4 linked regions of the Schizosaccharomyces pombe genome follow. The main gene of each other region encodes a partner of the protein of the gene in region 2 in a complex. Each region holds a gene or a part of one and is shown on either strand. Other genes may lie near its edges. The genes, in order: rox3, med14, pmc4 and med31. A codon is read from its position in the direction of its gene.

What was found.
Region 1: the proteins of med14 (region 2) and rox3 are in contact, whole or in part, in a crystal structure (PDB 5N9J), measured with the Schizosaccharomyces pombe proteins. Residues at the interface, in NP_595813.2 of Schizosaccharomyces pombe: Glu2 (codon at 3,457), Pro3 (codon at 3,454), Pro4 (codon at 3,451), Ala5 (codon at 3,448), Ile6 (codon at 3,445), Tyr14 (codon at 3,421), Ile19 (codon at 3,406), Thr22 (codon at 3,397), Phe23 (codon at 3,394), His25 (codon at 3,388), His26 (codon at 3,385), Val27 (codon at 3,382), Leu28 (codon at 3,379), Gln29 (codon at 3,376), Glu30 (codon at 3,373), Leu31 (codon at 3,370), Val32 (codon at 3,367), Ala35 (codon at 3,358), Leu38 (codon at 3,349), Pro39 (codon at 3,346), Asn43 (codon at 3,334), Val44 (codon at 3,331), Lys46 (codon at 3,325), Lys47 (codon at 3,322), Lys48 (codon at 3,319), Ile50 (codon at 3,313), Leu51 (codon at 3,310), Leu55 (codon at 3,298), Arg56 (codon at 3,295), Arg58 (codon at 3,289); in NP_588304.1 of Schizosaccharomyces pombe: Thr18 (codon at 1,432), Arg19 (codon at 1,429), Pro20 (codon at 1,426), Ala22 (codon at 1,420), Leu26 (codon at 1,408), Leu29 (codon at 1,399), Tyr30 (codon at 1,396), Gly31 (codon at 1,393), Leu32 (codon at 1,390), Leu35 (codon at 1,381), Lys38 (codon at 1,372), Val39 (codon at 1,369), Tyr55 (codon at 1,321), Tyr58 (codon at 1,312), Asp61 (codon at 1,303), Leu62 (codon at 1,300), Pro63 (codon at 1,297), Asn66 (codon at 1,288), Leu69 (codon at 1,279), Arg70 (codon at 1,276), Asp71 (codon at 1,273), Thr73 (codon at 1,267), Trp77 (codon at 1,255), Leu78 (codon at 1,252), Asn80 (codon at 1,246), Pro81 (codon at 1,243), Ile82 (codon at 1,240), Arg83 (codon at 1,237), Glu84 (codon at 1,234), Glu85 (codon at 1,231).
Region 3: the proteins of med14 (region 2) and pmc4 are in contact, whole or in part, in a crystal structure (PDB 5N9J), measured with the Schizosaccharomyces pombe proteins. Residues at the interface, in NP_595813.2 of Schizosaccharomyces pombe: Ile9 (codon at 3,436), Thr10 (codon at 3,433), Glu11 (codon at 3,430), Gly12 (codon at 3,427), Phe13 (codon at 3,424), Ile81 (codon at 3,220), Val84 (codon at 3,211), Gln88 (codon at 3,199), Lys91 (codon at 3,190), Phe92 (codon at 3,187), Gln95 (codon at 3,178), Phe110 (codon at 3,133), Arg114 (codon at 3,121), Asn115 (codon at 3,118), Ser116 (codon at 3,115), Asp117 (codon at 3,112), Leu118 (codon at 3,109), Thr120 (codon at 3,103), Ala121 (codon at 3,100), Leu122 (codon at 3,097), Ile124 (codon at 3,091), Leu125 (codon at 3,088), Arg132 (codon at 3,067), Gln153 (codon at 3,004), Gln156 (codon at 2,995), Thr157 (codon at 2,992), Ala160 (codon at 2,983), Met163 (codon at 2,974), Arg166 (codon at 2,965), Ile167 (codon at 2,962); in NP_596462.1 of Schizosaccharomyces pombe: Leu65 (codon at 1,911), Asp68 (codon at 1,902), Asp72 (codon at 1,890), Gln76 (codon at 1,878), Met79 (codon at 1,869), Arg80 (codon at 1,866), Thr83 (codon at 1,857), Tyr86 (codon at 1,848), Thr88 (codon at 1,842), His89 (codon at 1,839), Pro91 (codon at 1,833), Lys92 (codon at 1,830), Thr93 (codon at 1,827), Gln100 (codon at 1,806), Lys101 (codon at 1,803), Val102 (codon at 1,800), Leu107 (codon at 1,785), Leu108 (codon at 1,782), Tyr110 (codon at 1,776), Gly111 (codon at 1,773), Arg112 (codon at 1,770), Leu114 (codon at 1,764), Ser115 (codon at 1,761), Lys116 (codon at 1,758), Ser118 (codon at 1,752), Pro139 (codon at 1,689), Met199 (codon at 1,509), Asn200 (codon at 1,506), Tyr201 (codon at 1,503), Pro202 (codon at 1,500).
Region 4: med14 (region 2) and med31 share a complex: the UniProt entries of both Schizosaccharomyces pombe proteins name them as parts of the mediator complex.

Annotation. Positions count from the first base shown.
Region 1 is NC_003421.2:1,733,701-1,737,127, forward strand, and holds rox3 (mediator complex subunit Med19), read right to left. Parts: upstream 1,613-3,427; 5' UTR 1,484-1,612; coding exon 1,067-1,483; 3' UTR 560-1,066; downstream 1-559. Other genes in the region: CIA machinery monothiol glutaredoxin Grx3, read right to left, coding at 1,727-2,227; dao1 (D-amino acid oxidase), read right to left, coding at 2,906-3,427. UniProt on the Schizosaccharomyces pombe protein: Component of the Mediator complex, a coactivator involved in the regulated transcription of nearly all RNA polymerase II-dependent genes.
Region 2 is NC_003423.3:1,995,469-2,001,115, forward strand, and holds med14 (mediator complex subunit Med14), read right to left. Parts: upstream 3,626-5,647; 5' UTR 3,461-3,625; coding exon 821-3,460; 3' UTR 538-820; downstream 1-537. Other genes in the region: pus7 (pseudouridine synthase), read left to right, coding at 1-501; V-ATPase assembly factor Pkr1, read left to right, coding at 4,430-4,617, 4,698-4,908; sdh7 (ACN9 family protein), read right to left, coding at 4,844-4,891, 5,007-5,306. UniProt on the Schizosaccharomyces pombe protein: Component of the Mediator complex, a coactivator involved in the regulated transcription of nearly all RNA polymerase II-dependent genes.
Region 3 is NC_003423.3:3,515,405-3,519,591, reverse strand, and holds pmc4 (mediator complex subunit Med4), read right to left. Parts: upstream 2,132-4,187; 5' UTR 2,104-2,131; coding exon 1,384-2,103; 3' UTR 1,127-1,383; coding exon of another isoform or gene 838-1,126; 3' UTR 796-837; coding exon of another isoform or gene 544-795; 3' UTR 503-543; downstream 1-502. Other genes in the region: TREX/TREX2 complex subunit Pci2, read left to right, coding at 1-488, 544-795, 838-1,126; cell wall glucan 1,6-beta-glucosidase Exg1, read right to left, coding at 3,231-4,187. UniProt on the Schizosaccharomyces pombe protein: Component of the Mediator complex, a coactivator involved in the regulated transcription of nearly all RNA polymerase II-dependent genes.
Region 4 is NC_003421.2:525,304-528,265, reverse strand, and holds med31 (mediator complex subunit Med31), read left to right. Parts: upstream 1-1,517; 5' UTR 1,518-1,575; coding exon 1,576-1,995; 3' UTR 1,996-2,407; downstream 2,408-2,962. Other genes in the region: protein psg2, read right to left, coding at 1-76, 174-515, 601-664; SPOM_SPCP31B10.02 (uncharacterized protein), read right to left, coding at 2,474-2,905. UniProt on the Schizosaccharomyces pombe protein: Component of the Mediator complex, a coactivator involved in the regulated transcription of nearly all RNA polymerase II-dependent genes.

The sequences.
Region 1 (3,427 bases), on a different chromosome or scaffold from region 2:
GGGAGGTCCTTAGGAATTACAAAAGGATCTTCTCCTCTATATTCTAATGTTAGAGGGGAATGTGTGGATATGGGAAAGCAAATAATTAAATTTGTTTTTGGTTTATATCTATCGATTGTTTCATAAAGTACGATTTTTTTACCTCAATCGTGTTGTAAGCGTGTAAATCTGTATAATTAAGAAATATGGGGTTCGAACGGTGTATTTTATGCAATTCAAGCAATGGTAATTGACATAGAAATGTATGACAAGTTATTTTTTTTGCATCAATCATGAATACTGAAATTACGTCTCTAAAGCCCAGTCGGGTATTTACGATTGATGACTGTAATGTATGGGCAGTAAGTGAAACAATCTGTTTAATTTGGATGATCCAATACCATTTTTTTATGCTGCGGTTCTTTGCAACAGTCCTGCGTAGATCAACTCATATTTTTACTATTTCGACAATTGTTTTACACTTCTCAAAATTGGGTATTATTTAGAAAATACTCTTTACGATGAAATGTATATGAAGAAAAATAACTTTGAAAATGTATTACTAAAATGAATAAAACAACTAGCAACATATAGAACATAAGTTAATATGATTCAGTTAACAACGTTAAGAATACATTAAACAGTAGATGAGAAAAAGAATTTAAGTAATTTGTCTCTTGAGAATCTAGTAGAATCACCGAGATTAAACTATTGAAGTTAAAAGCGACTTCTTAGGAATAAACCTGAGAAAACAAAGATGAATTTTAAAAACGAAACAACGCCATGTAATAAATAAGTTTTCTAGACCGCAAATTAAAGAGTAATTAAATCATTTGGTATTGTTTCCATGCTTTGAAACGATGAAAAATCTCTGAAAACAGCAGATAACTGAACCCGCAGAAAGAGCTTCAAATATTTATCGCTCTTCTGAGTACAATCATTGAGTAATGGAAAGCAGAATCGACAAGTTTCAGTAAAAGCAACAAGTTTAGTAAAATTCGGCAAGAGCATTAAGGATTTGACCTGCAGTTTTAAAGCAAACTTTCACAGCTTTCTAGGATTTGATGAGCAATTGATGGCTCATCAATTACTTCTTTCTACGACTTGGACTACGAGGTTGAGAGGAATCACGACTAACATTGCCCATTACAACGTCGTCTTCAAGGCCAAACACTTTAGGATTAAAACCTGGAATAATGCCTGGCTCTACAGAGAACACATGATGTAAAAATTCAATGTCAATAGGAACTTCTTCTCGAATAGGGTTTGTAAGCCATTGTTTTATAGTATTATCACGAAGAATTTCATTATAACCTGGCAAGTCTTGGATGTAAGCCTTGTACGAACGACGCATCTTTCTCTTGTTACCAAATTCATCGACACGTCCAACCTTTTTAGCAAGTTCCGTAAGACCATAAAGCTCTATTAAATTCTGATGGGCAGAAGGCCTCGTCGGTTGGTAGTCTACACTACCTACATAGTGGTATTCAGGAGCTTGCGCCATGCAAATAAATTGACCAATGTAACAATAAGAATATATTATTGCATTCAAATTTTTTAAATATATATGCAATGAATGCTTTACTCTCTAAGTTGCTTAGCTGGATAGTTTGGAGTAGTGGTTGGTGGTTTAAAGAAGCTATAGCATACTTGGCTAGTATAATTATTGAGTTACTTCCAAGGGTAATCGATTTAACATAAATTGTAATTAATAAATTGCATCAAAACATATATTGAAAAATTAAAATTAGTCGGTAGGTAAAATTAAAACTTTATTATGTGTCCATTCATCCAAAGTAGACTGAAGTTTTTCTTCTTGGTACAGAGCACGGACCGAATCAGATCCACCGATGCTATGACCACCAACGAAGATGTTGGGCATTGTAGATATATCGCTAATGGAAGAAAGCCAGTCTCTTAACTCTTGAGTATGCTCGTAGTCGGTGACTTCTACAACCACTGCTGGAGGATCCAATCTAAGGGTTTCTGTTAGAAGTTTTTTAGCTGCAGCACTATAAGGACATCCAGGACGACTAAAAATGATAACAGGGTTTTCAAGAAATACTTCAAAATCTGTTGAATCCTTAGCAGGTAATTTAGGAGCAGATGGCACTGAGACATCTGAAAGACCTAAAGGTCCTGCCTTTGCATTTTTCTCAGGTTCATTCAGTGGACTGAATATGAAGATATGAATAAGCAATAACGATATTATAAGAGATGTAATAAGAAAAATCTTTCTATTAGCCATAATGGGATGTAAGCTTTCCTTTCTCTTGGTAATTTGTATGAGCTGACGAAAAGCAGCTGATTAATCAAATTATTGTGATTAAAGCAAAATAAAATAATATAAAATGAATAAACTATTACAATTAAATTCCCTCACAGTTGGTTTAGATAGTTACCCAAAACCTGTGGTATGCAAACGGTAGGCTGGTCGCGGATAGGTGAATTTAGGATATTGCGATTGAGGATTGAAAAACTTCTTTAAAGGCCCAAAAATTACTAATTAAGCTACAAAGATGCCACCGTTAATATGAATCAAGCTCAGTCTATTTTAATGCTTCTACAACAAGGGCACGGAAGGAAAGGAACCTTACTTGCTCGCATTAAGGATGCCAAGCACTTTAGTCTTTCAGATTATTCTCAAAAGATGTAAATTTTTTTAAATAATCGTCAAAAAACGTAAAGGTAATGTACAACATTCTAATGCTATTTCATCCTCATGATTTAGCAACTCTCAAAAGCTAATGAACTACTTGTACACGTGTATCGTAGAATTGAAATGCGTTTTAACAAATCCGTTAAGTCTATAAAACATGGTTCGAAATTTGGTATAAAAACTACCTCAAATGAAGCGACCAATTATCCTAATAAAAAGAGGGGAGATAATGCTCTAAAAAATATGAAACGTGATAAAAAAATAAACCTAAGCCAATTTGATTTTAGGAAGAGCCAACATGACAGAGTCAAGAGCCATACCATAACCAGCTTGGTATCCTGTGCCAGAAGCACCGTAATCATGAACAAGGGGGACTGAGGTGCCGGGAACAACATCAAGCTCTACGCGGGCACCACCCTTTCGAGAAGGACGGAATCCGACACATTCTTGAATAATTTCAGCACCCTCCGGACCCTTGCCGTGGAACAATTCTGGCATCAAAGCCGATGTTCTCTTAAGGATATCCAAAGTGTCTTCAGGGTGAATTTCACGATCCCAGTTTCCTGGTTGCATGAAACCGCCGCAAATGACTCCACCATTTAAGGGACGAGGAATAATATAGGTATCAGAGTTCTTGCCATTCAAAATGCGAGTTTCTGTTACATGAGGAGCCTTAACCAAAACAACATGTCCACGAGTCGGATAAACGTCCGGGTCTTCAACGCCACCCAATTTGGAAGCCCAGAGACCAGTGCAATTAAATACTACTGAAGCTTCTGGAGTTTCTTC
Region 2 (5,647 bases):
CTTCTAGAAGATTTACCTGTGAGCTCAAAATTATCAGCTCGTCCGATTGAAGAGGACGAAGTCAATAACTTTAGTATTTACGACATAGTACTTCCTTTACCTGGTCGTAATGTAATATACCCAAAAAATGAAACTTTCGATATATACAAGTCTGTCATGAATGAGGCATCACTTGATCCATTAAATATGTCTCGCAAAGACAGAGAACTTTCATTACCTGGTGATTATCGAAAACTTTTGGTGCGTCCTGAAAATATGGAGTTTAATTTCATAAAGTATGACAATATGGAACAACAACTGATTTTGACGGATAAGGATAGATTGGAGAACCGTTCTATTTCAGTGAGTTCTGAGGTTGGTAAGCACACCGCTGTTACGTTAAAATTTGTACTTCCATCTTCTGCTTACGCTACTATGGCTTTACGAGAAGCTTTAAGAACTGCAACTGCTAGTGGTGATCAACGTATGTTGATGCCAGCGGTACTTAAAGATTCAATATAAAATTTATTAGCTTAAAAGAACACAGCTTTGAATAAACTTGGGATTATGGCGATTATAATAGAAATTCATTTTACCTACGGAAGTTTTTTGCTTATTCATAAATGATTAAGCGTTAATTCGACGATCTCTAATTTACACGTTGGATTATATAAATCACATGTATCATCAATGTAACATTCACTTGTATACTTTAGAAAACGATTTTCATTTACCTCATTAACCAGACATTTTTTGCCGTATTTATATATACAATCACTAATCACTGCCACCGAAAGGAATGGACGGTGGAGGGGGTGAGGATTAAAAGCTTAATATGAGTTCATTTTTTTCGAGAGATCGCTAAAATTCTTTTTAGAATGGCTGTTAAATCAGCCGTTTTGTTCATCTTTATTAAGTGCATCTCGGGAGCGGCCTCAATCTGACCATTAAGCTCATCATCACCCAAGTCACCTTCCCAAACAGTATTAAGCCATGAACAAGGTTCCCATTGAGACGTCAAAGTCTGAGTTCCTTCCAAGTATCGGGAATCGGCAGATAAGTAGGATAAATCTTGGAGTATACATCCATGGCGATTTAAAAGAACTTGAATGCCATGATTTTTGGATAGGATAATTCTGTACTGACGCAGAGATCGAGCCAAAACAACGTAGCCCAATTCTTGAGCTACTAAAACACCTCTCGTTCTATCCATAATTACGCGTAATGGTTGAATAGCTGAGGGCCCATCAGAAAATGTATCCTGCAAAAACTGAGAAATTAGATGAAACGGACTATGTCGATTAAAAAAATGAAGGGTAAAAGTGTTGTCGTCATGAATTGTAGCCCTAAATTTCTCATCATCGAGATATGTAAAGTCCACATGCTTTAACGTGATACAATCTACATTGAATGCAGATGTTTTAGACAAAGCAACAAGTTTAAGTAATCCAATCCATGTTTTTTCGAAAGATGAAAAATTTTGCACACGAATGGTAATACGACCGGTTCTCCAATCTATGTAGCAGTTCTTTTCAGTTTCAGTCTCAGACTGATACGGCAATTTTCCTTTTATTCGGGAGTCAAAAATTAACTGCCCGTCATGCGCGCGAACGAAAACCACAGGAAGCATATCTTCATTAGACGATGGCATCATAATACATAAGCATCCTGTTTGGACGTATGTAGTAAAGTCATCTTCAATTAGGGCTTTTGGTGGAATAGGCAAATATTCAAAAGGCATACCACGAGCTTGGCAAGCAGTTTGAACATTGAATAAAAGTATTTGGACTTCCAATAGGTACGAAAGACGGCTAAAACTTTCAATACTTAAAGTACCTTTTGTAGTATGAACATCTTGGGTGTAGAGAGTTTGACCCGCAGCGTTCAACAATCTAACAGACCAAGAGTTGGATTCAACGTTGTACGCGAGTACCCATAGGGAATCGCCATCTTTTCTCCATTTACCTTTGGAGAATGTAAGATAAGGGAAAGAATAGTAACCTTGAACTGCATGCAACTCAGCACACTGGGCAACTTCTAATAGCTGCGTTTGTATACAAAAGAAATACAACCGATTCAAGATTTGGGCGGGAGGTTGCGTATTCAAAGCAATATTTTTTTCAGCAGCACGAAGATGCCTGGGAGGTGATAAAGGTGAAGCCGAACTCGACAGCACGAGCCTGCCGGTAACGCTGTTCACCTTGACAATTATTTCATTATCAAAGACATGAATTTTTAGACCACCACCAACATGTTCACTAAATATATTTGGGTGAAGCTCCTTACGGATTTGTTCCAGAATAAGTTGAGCGTGTTTTTGGGTAATTAATAATAGTAGATGCTGAGCATCCATATGATCATCTAATGGTACATGTTCAACAATGCCATCATGGTGCCATTCAACGAGTAATAAAAAATGATCATATTCACAACTGGATCTCTTAGAGCTAAGGGTACGCTCAAAGGCGGATATGGGTTGAGTATTTACAAATATATGAATATAATGACCAATTTTTCCGGGTTTTCCTTCTTTTTTCACATTTAATTGGGGCCAATAGTATAGACGTAGCCGTGGGGGCTTTTCATCATAGACACCGCGCAAATGCCCTAACCAACTTTCTCTGGATAGTTGAAAAGTTTGTTGTGACAATAAATTAAGGCGCTGATATAAACAAAATTTATGAAGGATATTATATATTAAAGGTAGGATGGGCTTTTGTAGAACGAATGCAGCAGCGATTTCTTCATTGAGATGCAATTCTATAAAAACCCGATATTTTGCGGGAGTAGAAGAAAAATCAGGAAGATGAAATTGAAAGTCAACAACAATCCACTGGAATGAAATACCGGTAGATTTAGGATCTTGGGAATTGGTTGTCAAAGACACTGAAAACTCATTGGGAACAGTAAATGTGCAACGACCATTAGCAATTGTGAAATGTTGAAATGGTGTCGGAATAATTTCATAAAGACTAAGACGAATTCTAATAAGCATGTTAAGAGCATGAAGGGTTTGAAGTATTTGTTTGGTACTTAGCGGTGATTCAGATAGCATGTATAATTTTGAAGTGGGAGCATTTGCTAGACGAAGACTCGTGCCAGTTGACAAAATATCTAATGCAGTAACTAAATCTGAGTTGCGTAGACGTGCAAATGACAACTGGTAACGAATATCTTGTAACACATGAACTAAATTCTGGAAGCAAAATTTTTGACCTTGAAGAAAGGCTACAACATCTATGCATCGATGAACTGAAGGAGATAGATGTACCCAACGCGCTAAAACTAGCAAACGCATAGTGAAAGCGCGCGAACGTAATAACCAATCTAAGATCTTTTTCTTTTTCTCGACATTTGACATAGAGGGTAGAACTTCGGCTAAAGACACCAATTCTTGTAACACATGATGACTAAAAGTTTCTACTATCTCAGGAAGAGGATAAAATCCTTCTGTAATGTGTGGAATCGCAGGCGGTTCCATCCTCAATTGGAGGAGTTAGGAATTTCGTGTAATAGCGCCTTTAATTAGCCGATCCTTTACCAAAACTAAATTTCGTAATAAACATAAGTTTTGTTCTTTTAAAAACCCTTAAAAAGGATTCTTTATATCTCTTTTACAGAAATCTTCGAGTAGCGTGCCAAAAGCAACTTCACACAGCTCCCGTGAAACTCTTCGATAACCTTCGTTACGCCATTCACTGAGATTGTTAAAACGCCTTAGGTTTATTCATTCAAAAAATTGGAATAATCAATAAATAAGCAATTTTAAATGGAATTAAATAATAATTGATCAATGATATTACTAAAATGGGAGATTTTGAATAAATTTGAGCTAGTATAAACATGCCCTGTTATGCGATAATCGCATAAAACATAGTTTGAAACTATGGATAATGAAGAATAACAAATGAGATGGAACCGTTCAAAAAGATTCTCGTAATTCTATAGTAGTTAAAAAGCCCCTTCTTTAAACTGAACGAAAATCATCATTAAAGCTGTTCAAACTTTGCTATCAATTTTAATCAGAGCTTCAGCGTGTCTCATTAAAATGATAATAAAACAGTAATTTAGAAGAGCTAAGCCGAAAAATAACATTTGTTTTGATCATTTAATTATTTTCTCCACGACCACAAGAAGCTGACAAAAAATTTTTAATATAGCAAAACAAAAGTAGAGCACTATTCCATTTGAATGATTCAAAGCTCTATTAACAATAAATTTGGACAAATGGAAGCATAACCTTCGGTTTTAATAGTAGTATAAGATATGGATTTCTTGAAATCCATTTTAACTTTTAATGAACTCCAACATCGGTCTCGTTGCTAAATTAATTCAATAGCACACGCACACTATAAAGGCCAGATTTTATCGCTAGAACACAAACGGTGGTTTAACAACGTCAATTCATAGCTACTACATTTCCAAGTAGTATTCCAATAAGAAAAAGATCATGTCGTATTGGGTGGAACTATGGGAATCAATTTTCACACCAGGTGTCACACCTGTATTGGCTAAGTCAGCACACGTAGCCTGTGGTGCACTTGTCGCTGTTTTTCTTGGACTTTATATAGGTACAAAAAGTATTCATTGTCTCATCTTATTTTTCCTGGCAATCTGTTTGTGGCTGTCGCTAACATGGTACGTTTATCCATGAGGAAGTTGAACATCTCGTTCACTTTTTTACGAGTAGTCCAGATCATTCATTAACAACTTTATAGGTTTTTGGTTGAGCTTGCACATGCTCGAGTTAATAACGATTTGCAGATGTCGTCTCAAAGTGCCAATAAAAATGACGACAACTCAAACAATCAAAATCCTTCTAATAACAAAGAGATGTCTGATAAAGAATCAGATTCCGCGACCACTACTCAGACTTTTTCTGTTCCTGAAGAGCTTTTGAGAGCTCGTACAACTGCCAATAATAGTTAGAAACTATAGGTCCAAAAAAAGAAGCAATAAGTTCAAGAGCACTGGTAAAAGTTCTCTTCTTTTAATAATAAACCTCAATCTAATATAAGTTTTCTTACCTGTCCGATTTGCTGGTCATTTAAAGATTCTAGTAGATCCGTATTACTGTATTTTTCCTGTTTCCAGCTCTCGTTTTCTAGTGCATCCGCATACCTCTCCCACGAGCTTAAAAATCCTACTAAATGCAAAGGATTTGTTACGTTCCGATGTCTTCGAAATTCCGCCTTTACATATTCATCTCCTAAAGCTCGTTCTTCTGCTCCTAGGTGATAGCGATGCGCTCTCAACACCCTTCGGTACAGAGGCAAAGGAGGTGTCAAAATATTCTTTTGTTTCATTAATTTCGTTATGTTATTCATTGGTATATGATTTTCTTTAGATACCGTCTTTTCAAAAATTGAATTCCTTTTAAGTTTCTTGTTGTGGTTGTGATGTGGAAGGCAGTTTGCTATTCATCGCATTCACACTAACAATTGCAAGGTCTTCTTCTACCAAATGTAAACAATACCACCAGAAGATATACTAGTAGGAAAAGTGAGTGTTCCTTCAATCATTTGTCTTGAAATCTTCAATTTTTAATTCCTTTTTCTTTTGAAAACATTACTTTGTGTTATCGGACTACGTAGAAAGGACTTGTCGATTTGGTATCGATTATTTGTAGTTGCTTGAATTCATTTATTTTAAGATTAAAGTATTTATC
Region 3 (4,187 bases), 1.5 Mb from region 2:
ACTTGCTTCTCCCATATCGATGGAGCATGGTTGTGTACAATTGTAAAACGCGTTTCAAAGCTTTATGTAAAGCTCTCCCTTCAGCTAGATACATCTACACCTACTTTAGAAGATTCTTTTGATGGTAATGGGTTCATACAGAGGAAATACGTGAGCGATGCATCTAGGAACGTCTTACGAACGTTCAATAGTATACTGAGTGATCGTCAACAAAACATTAACCCTTCGAAGAAGGATGCGATATTCTGTATTGCCAATTTACTTTGTTTACTATATTTTCGCTTAAAGCAAATTCGTCTTTGCCAAACTATTCAAGCTAATGTCATCTCTTCGGGTGCCGATATTTCTCGCGCTACAATGGCGGAATTAGTAACGTTTCGTTATTATTTAGGAAGGTGTCATCTTTATCAACGCAAAATTCATCAGGCAAAGGACCATCTACTTTTTTCGTTTCTTCAGTGCCCTGATGAGTGTTATCATCAAAAAAGGTATGTTTTATTTTACTCAAAAATAGGATTCGTTTATATTTACTAATCAAAAAAGGCTTTCTCTAATCTATCTTACAACGTGTTTACTTATATTAGGAAAATCGCCAACAAAAGGGCTATTAGAAAAATACAAATTGACTGCAGCATTCGAACCTTTAATAAAAGCTTTGAAAAGTGGTGATATCAAGTCGTTCAGATTATCTTTGGAGGACAATTCCAGGAGGAAATGGTTTATCAAACGAGGAATATATCTAACTTTATTGGATAGATGTGAAATCATCCTGTGGAGGAATTTATTTAGAAAGGTGTACGTTTGAGATTTTTTAAAATATTCGACTAATTTAAAAAGGTTTCTTTTTACTTTTGAGCAAAGCCAAAAAACCCCGCACGTATCTGGTTCTTACTTGTTAACCGCGGCCCGTTTAAGTACAAATGATAACTCATATGACATGGACGATGTCGAATGTATCTGTGTTTCTCTAATTGACCAAGGATATATTAAAGGTTATATCATTCATGCATCATCAACTTTAGTCCTTAAAAAAGACCCATCGTTCGGTTTTTCTGTAATAGAGAGCCTTATGCCCATAGCAAGGAATGATCACGCAGAAAAGGAATTTTTTCATGCTAACGCATAATTAAATGAACTCAGAAAACGTAGATTGTTCGAAAATTATACTTAAAATTAATTAAATTTGAATTGACAAATGTTAAGCAAGGAACAGTGTTCAATCATCTTGCTTTGCGAAGTCTGAAAGCTAAATAAATACAGTCTAAACGGCAAAGCGTAATTTTATTCATTTTTAAAACAAAAGGGTATTTGGTCAAAGCAAAAAACTCTATAATTAGAAAAGTAAAATACCAGATATCACTTGACAAATAACACAATTTAGAATCAAAAATCTTCTTCCATTTCTGGATCAAAAAGATCAAATCCTGCAAAGACATCCTTATTAGCTGGCGATTCTACTTCTTTATTTTCCTCTTGCGTAGTGAATGTTGGAGAGGCAGGATAATTCATTTTAGTTTTTTCTTCAACGGCTTTGTTCGCATCAATTTCTGTTTCTGTTTCCGTTGGCTCGTTCGTCTTTGGAGGCTGTTCAGAAAATAATTGGGACGCTGTAGCCGATAAATTTGGAACCATGCTAGTTGAAAACTGAAACAACAGAGTTTTTCGCATCTGGTCCTCCGATGGCCAAGGATAATGCACAGGAGCTTTTGCATCTTGACCCGTCTCGGGATTGTACCCAGGAGGTGCAGAGGAAAACTTGGAAAGTTTTCTACCATAATCAAGGAGTGTTTCAGCATTAACTTTTTGTCGTTTTCTCCCCGACACTGTTTTTGGAAGATGGGTATCATAAATTGAGGTCATTTCTCTCATGCAGTCTTGAATTTGTAAATCCAGTTCCTTATCCTGCTTCAGCAAAGAACTAATTTCATTTTGTAATTCTCTACCATTTGTGTAATTTGATATTAAAGAGTGTAAGGTTTTCAAGTGGCCTACTAATGAGGTCCAGTTTTCTATTAGTACATATTGGTCAACCTTTTCGGATGACAGTCTTAACTGTTTATTGAGACATTCTTCAATAGAATCAATGGCTCTTTGATATTCCATTGGGGAGCATATGTGATTACTATATACTAACTACTCAACAATTGCTCGATCATCTAGTAGGTCAGGTTACAGTTATTTTGCAGACTCGACTTTTTACTCCTTAAACATCCGTAACCGTTAGTTAAACAGACATCCTTAAAAGGTTTAATGTGCTAAAACACGGTAAATTACAGTAATGTCCTCCTCCACAAGGGCAATAAGTAGCAGCTGGTATATACGCTCGACGAACAATACTTAAGTTACTCTCGATTAAATAGAATTAGTCAATTTAATTCTGTATATGATTTTAATTGTTTAAATTGTCTAACAAATTTCACTAATTTGGGCAAGAAGAAAGCTATTATTCGTATAAATTAGTCGACAAACTACGTTACATTTACAGTGTAACAATTTTGATCTTGTTAGGGACAACATAATGAATACATACTAGTGAATTAGATATCTCATTAAATTAAAAAAGCGAGTTCGTTAAAGAATGCTTAATGAGCTTATTTCGTTTAATGCGTATAAAGCCTATATCAGATCAGAAAATGTGTAATATTACTTTACCAAGAAATCGCTCAATTTAAATGTAATTTTTATAAAAGTATTTTAAACATATGTCACCTGTGGCTGAGTGAAAACCTATTCTGTCGATTTGCTTTTCCGAGACTAACTCAAAGTGGTCCGTCTATGTGGCTCAATACTGACTTATAAGAGTAGAGCAGAAAATACATTTCATATAAGTAAACTGAAGATACTTGATAATTGAAAATTCAATTGGACAACTTTAAAAAGATTTCTCGGTCAACTTTCTCCAAAGTACAGCTACTGTTAATATAGAGTTCGAAAAAATATGCAATATTGAACGTAAACTATTAAGCTAAATATTAATTTAGTAGGAACTTGCTACCAAAATATTAATATCACATAACTAAAAGATTTCGAAAACAACAATATATATTAAAAACTAATGTCTAAAGATAATGCCAAACAAACAAAGACTGAATGGATAGTAGATAGCAGCACGTTAAATGATAGTAGATGATAAATGCAAGGACAGGACATGACAACGATGTGTGAGATATAAATTAGTGTTATACAGCTAGAATAGATAAAATTTTTTTTTAACTTTGATATGGCTTTGCTTAACCGCAGTAAGAGCTATATTGTCTATCAGTGAAAGGTTGAGGGAATACGCCGTATTCAATAAGTAATCCCATATCCCAAGTAGGACTTGGTCCACCAGTTTTAGCAGTCCAGTAAATCCAACCAGCACCGCGTTCAAATTGATCTAACTGAGTTTCGATAAACAGACGAACAGCTCCCTTATATTCATCCGTCCAAGTGGAAATATCACCGCTGTTTGGTCCAATAAATGTCGAAGAGTCAACTCCTTCTTCGAAAATCGTGCAGTCTGCTAAAGTTCCGGACCATTCGCCAGTAACAGTAATGTAGGGAGAGGAAGCAATGGAATCACCAATGGAGCAAACATCTGAAAGATGATCATCGAGAGTCTTTGAGCACTCATCCGACTCGTAAAGTTGATAACGATGGACATCCATAACAAGATTGTATGAAGAAGGAGATACAACACCATAATCCCAAATAGAAAGATCAACATAGGCATCGTGAATGATAGTAGCAACAGAGCTGGAAAGAGGATTGACGATATTATAGGCATCTAAATCGTATTGCTTAAGTTGATCCATATCCAGACCATAGCCCAAAGGCTCATTTACCGTCTCAATTCCAATAACCACGCTGGCATATTGAGATTGGGTATACTTATTAGCAACATAGGTAATAATGTCAAGAGTACGAGTTACAGTGTCATTTTGCTGCCATCCAATGGAACCAGTCTTACCAGAGTTTTCAAATCCATTTTGGCTGCCTGGAACACCATGCAAGTCAATCCAAACCTTAAGGCCATATTGTTCAGCCCAAGTAAGAGCTTGATCGAGCCAGTACTCTTGCCCTTGAACATATGGTTCGCCGTCTACCACATTAAAGGCCCAATACCCAATAGGAATACGCAAAACATTAACACCCCAAGAAGCTATAGTAGCGAAATCAGATTCAGTGTAGAATGAGCTATAATGAGC
Region 4 (2,962 bases), on a different chromosome or scaffold from region 2:
GTAACCAAATCGATGGTGACATTCTGGAAACTATCATCATGAAGCCAACCTTTGTTAGCCTTTAACATTATTTCTCCTGAAAAATAGTTAGCAACAATTAAGTGAACGCTTTTAGAAGCAGAAAATCTATCCGCAAGAAGTAATGCTGAATTCCCGCTCCTCTACAAACGAACCTTTTGAATTTTGAACCTTCTTGGTAGCGGCAATCAACCCGCTATCGTTTAAATAGGAAACTACCATAAGAAGATTATCAACTCCAAAGTACAGAGGATCCCATGACACTTTATACTTGCGACCTTTTACCCAACGATCCCCTTGGTTAGGTGCACACATGGGTATATCCGACTGGATATATTTAGAAGGAACACAGTTGTAATAAGCATTAGTCGGTAAACCTTTTGTCGTGGTGATTGTTTTACTAACAGTGCTTTCAGCCGTAGCCAGGTGAGTTCCACTGACTACAGTATACACTTTCGTAGTCCTCAAGTTAGGATTACCGGAAGACGAGGAAAAATCTATAGGTTAGTGTTATGCTTAGTGAATGAAAAAAAAAAAGAAAATCTGGTTAGCAAACAAAGCAAAAAACTCATTAGAACATACAATCTCCTAAAACTACTTGAAAGAAAAGTGAAAACAGAAACACTGATCCACAAATAACTTTCATTGTAATTTAAATGTATGAATGAAAAACTTTAGTAGGGTTCAGACAGTGATAACAACCCGAATATAGAAAAATGACAAAAGCGGTAATATACGAGGATAAAGACCAATTATGCAGCCAAACAGTATTCCTTTCTTGAAAAATTATTGTTTAAGCTTATATAACATTAATACCAACCGGAATTGCTGATTTCACGAGATACTCATAAATTCCGCTGTGTATTGGCAGCGGAAAGGTTTGAAAATTGAACGACTTTATACCTCAAGAGCCGAATATGAATAACAGTTTATTAAGGCCTATATATTGAAAATTAATATTAACTTAATAACATTTTAAATAACCAATGCATCTCTACTATGCCATAAAAATATATTCTTAATCTTATCCGTTTTTTGTCAATTTGATTGAAACTACAGATCTAGAGGGTCAGTTTACTGTTGAAAAAAAGGTTTCAGTGTATTTAATTATAGCTTTCCTTTTGTCAACAAGTCTTATTAAAATTGAAAGTTCTACGCTCATCATCAATACGAAGAAAGCAATACTTATTGTGGATAAAAATGGTATCCACAAAAAATTGAGTTAGACAGCTTTAATGAGCAATTAGAAATTTGAAGTTGACTTTAAGATTTCAACTAAGTTGTTTTGACATTGTTCCAGATTGATTATTAACACTTGTAAAATTAAACAGCTTAAATGGGAGAAACCATTTAGAACCAATTTTTCAACTAGAGAATTTTAATTTAATTAAGAAATAAATTGCCCGTTAGAATTGAATTTGTTTACTCTTTCAATTTTCTACTCACCATTTAGGGAGCCCACTATTCTTTACATATCCCGTAGCGTTACTAGTGGTAGCACCAAAACCAAATTTTACCAAATATACAGATATATGGTCAAGTAATTGTTTCGATTCAATGGAAACAAAATGGTTACTTTCAAAGGTTCCCGATGATAAGAGTCGGTTTGAAATTGAGTTAGAATTTGTACAAATGCTTTCAAATCCATGGTACCTAAACTTCCTTGCCCAGCACAAATACTTTGAAGATGAGGCATTTTTACAGTACCTTGAATATATGGAATATTGGAGGGAACCAGAATATGTGAAATTCATAATTTATCCAACTTGCCTGCACATGTTGACTTTATTAAAAAATCCGCAATTTCGCAACGACATTTCTAGAGCGGATTTGTCAAAGCAGGTTAATGATGAAATTTATTATGAATGGTTAGGAAAAGGTTTGCAGCAATATGGTAGTGCCGACGATGCTACTTTGTCTCAGCCGCAGCAAGAGGAAGATGAAAAGAAAGTTGACGTGAAAAAGGAAAATGAATGAAAAGAGGATGTATGTAGATATTGAGATAGTTATGGTAATATCCACTTACTTTTTTCTCACATTTTTAAATTTCAATATCCAAAATCAAGCAAGATCTCTTATACAAGCATGTACTTGAGAAACTCCTGGACCTATGAAACTTCAATAAGTACAAAATCTTTACGGATCACTTCTGATTGTGTTTCCTGTGCTTTTCAGTTTGCCAAAATGGATTGAATCGGTATGAGATAAATTCTGTTGAAAAGTTTGACTGCAAATTAAAACACATTTACACAATACAGAGTTTTTTAGACTTTTATTTTTGTAAATCATATTTAATGCCATTTTATGCAGTTTCAGAAGTGTTCTGTAAGCATTTAGACTAATAAATAAAGAAGCATTAAGTCTAATTTTTTTGATAATATATCCAAGAAAATCATGTTATTCATACCTATCATATCCTTATCATGAGAGTTATATATTTTTGTTTTTGCATTAATTAGTTGTTTTTAGATTGCTTATCCTTCATTAATCGTTTTTCCAGTAAAACAAAGGCTTTCAACTGAGGAGGTAGCTCTTCCAATGAGCTAGTTTCCTTTAATGAAACCTTTGCTAAATCAGGAGGCACGGGTAAATGTTTATCTAAATAATGCCTTTTTGCTTTTCTTCGTGCACGATTGTATTCCTCAAGGTCATCAGCATACACATCCCAAACACATATAGCGCAACCACTTTGGCAACAATTCAAAGGCTCCTCGGGTTTTGGAGGTACTCTTATGCCATCGTAAATACGACTCACATTCCCTATAGAATAAGAACGCAACGACGCTGGTCCCTCCTCCACTGCTAGAAAAGATACATTGGGCTCTATTTCAAAATGAAATTTTGGTTTTGGTTGTTTCAATAATTCTTTAAACAACGTTAGATGCATAAAAATCACGACTATATACCGTACGTCGATAGAATTTTAAACTAGGCTTTACCGTGT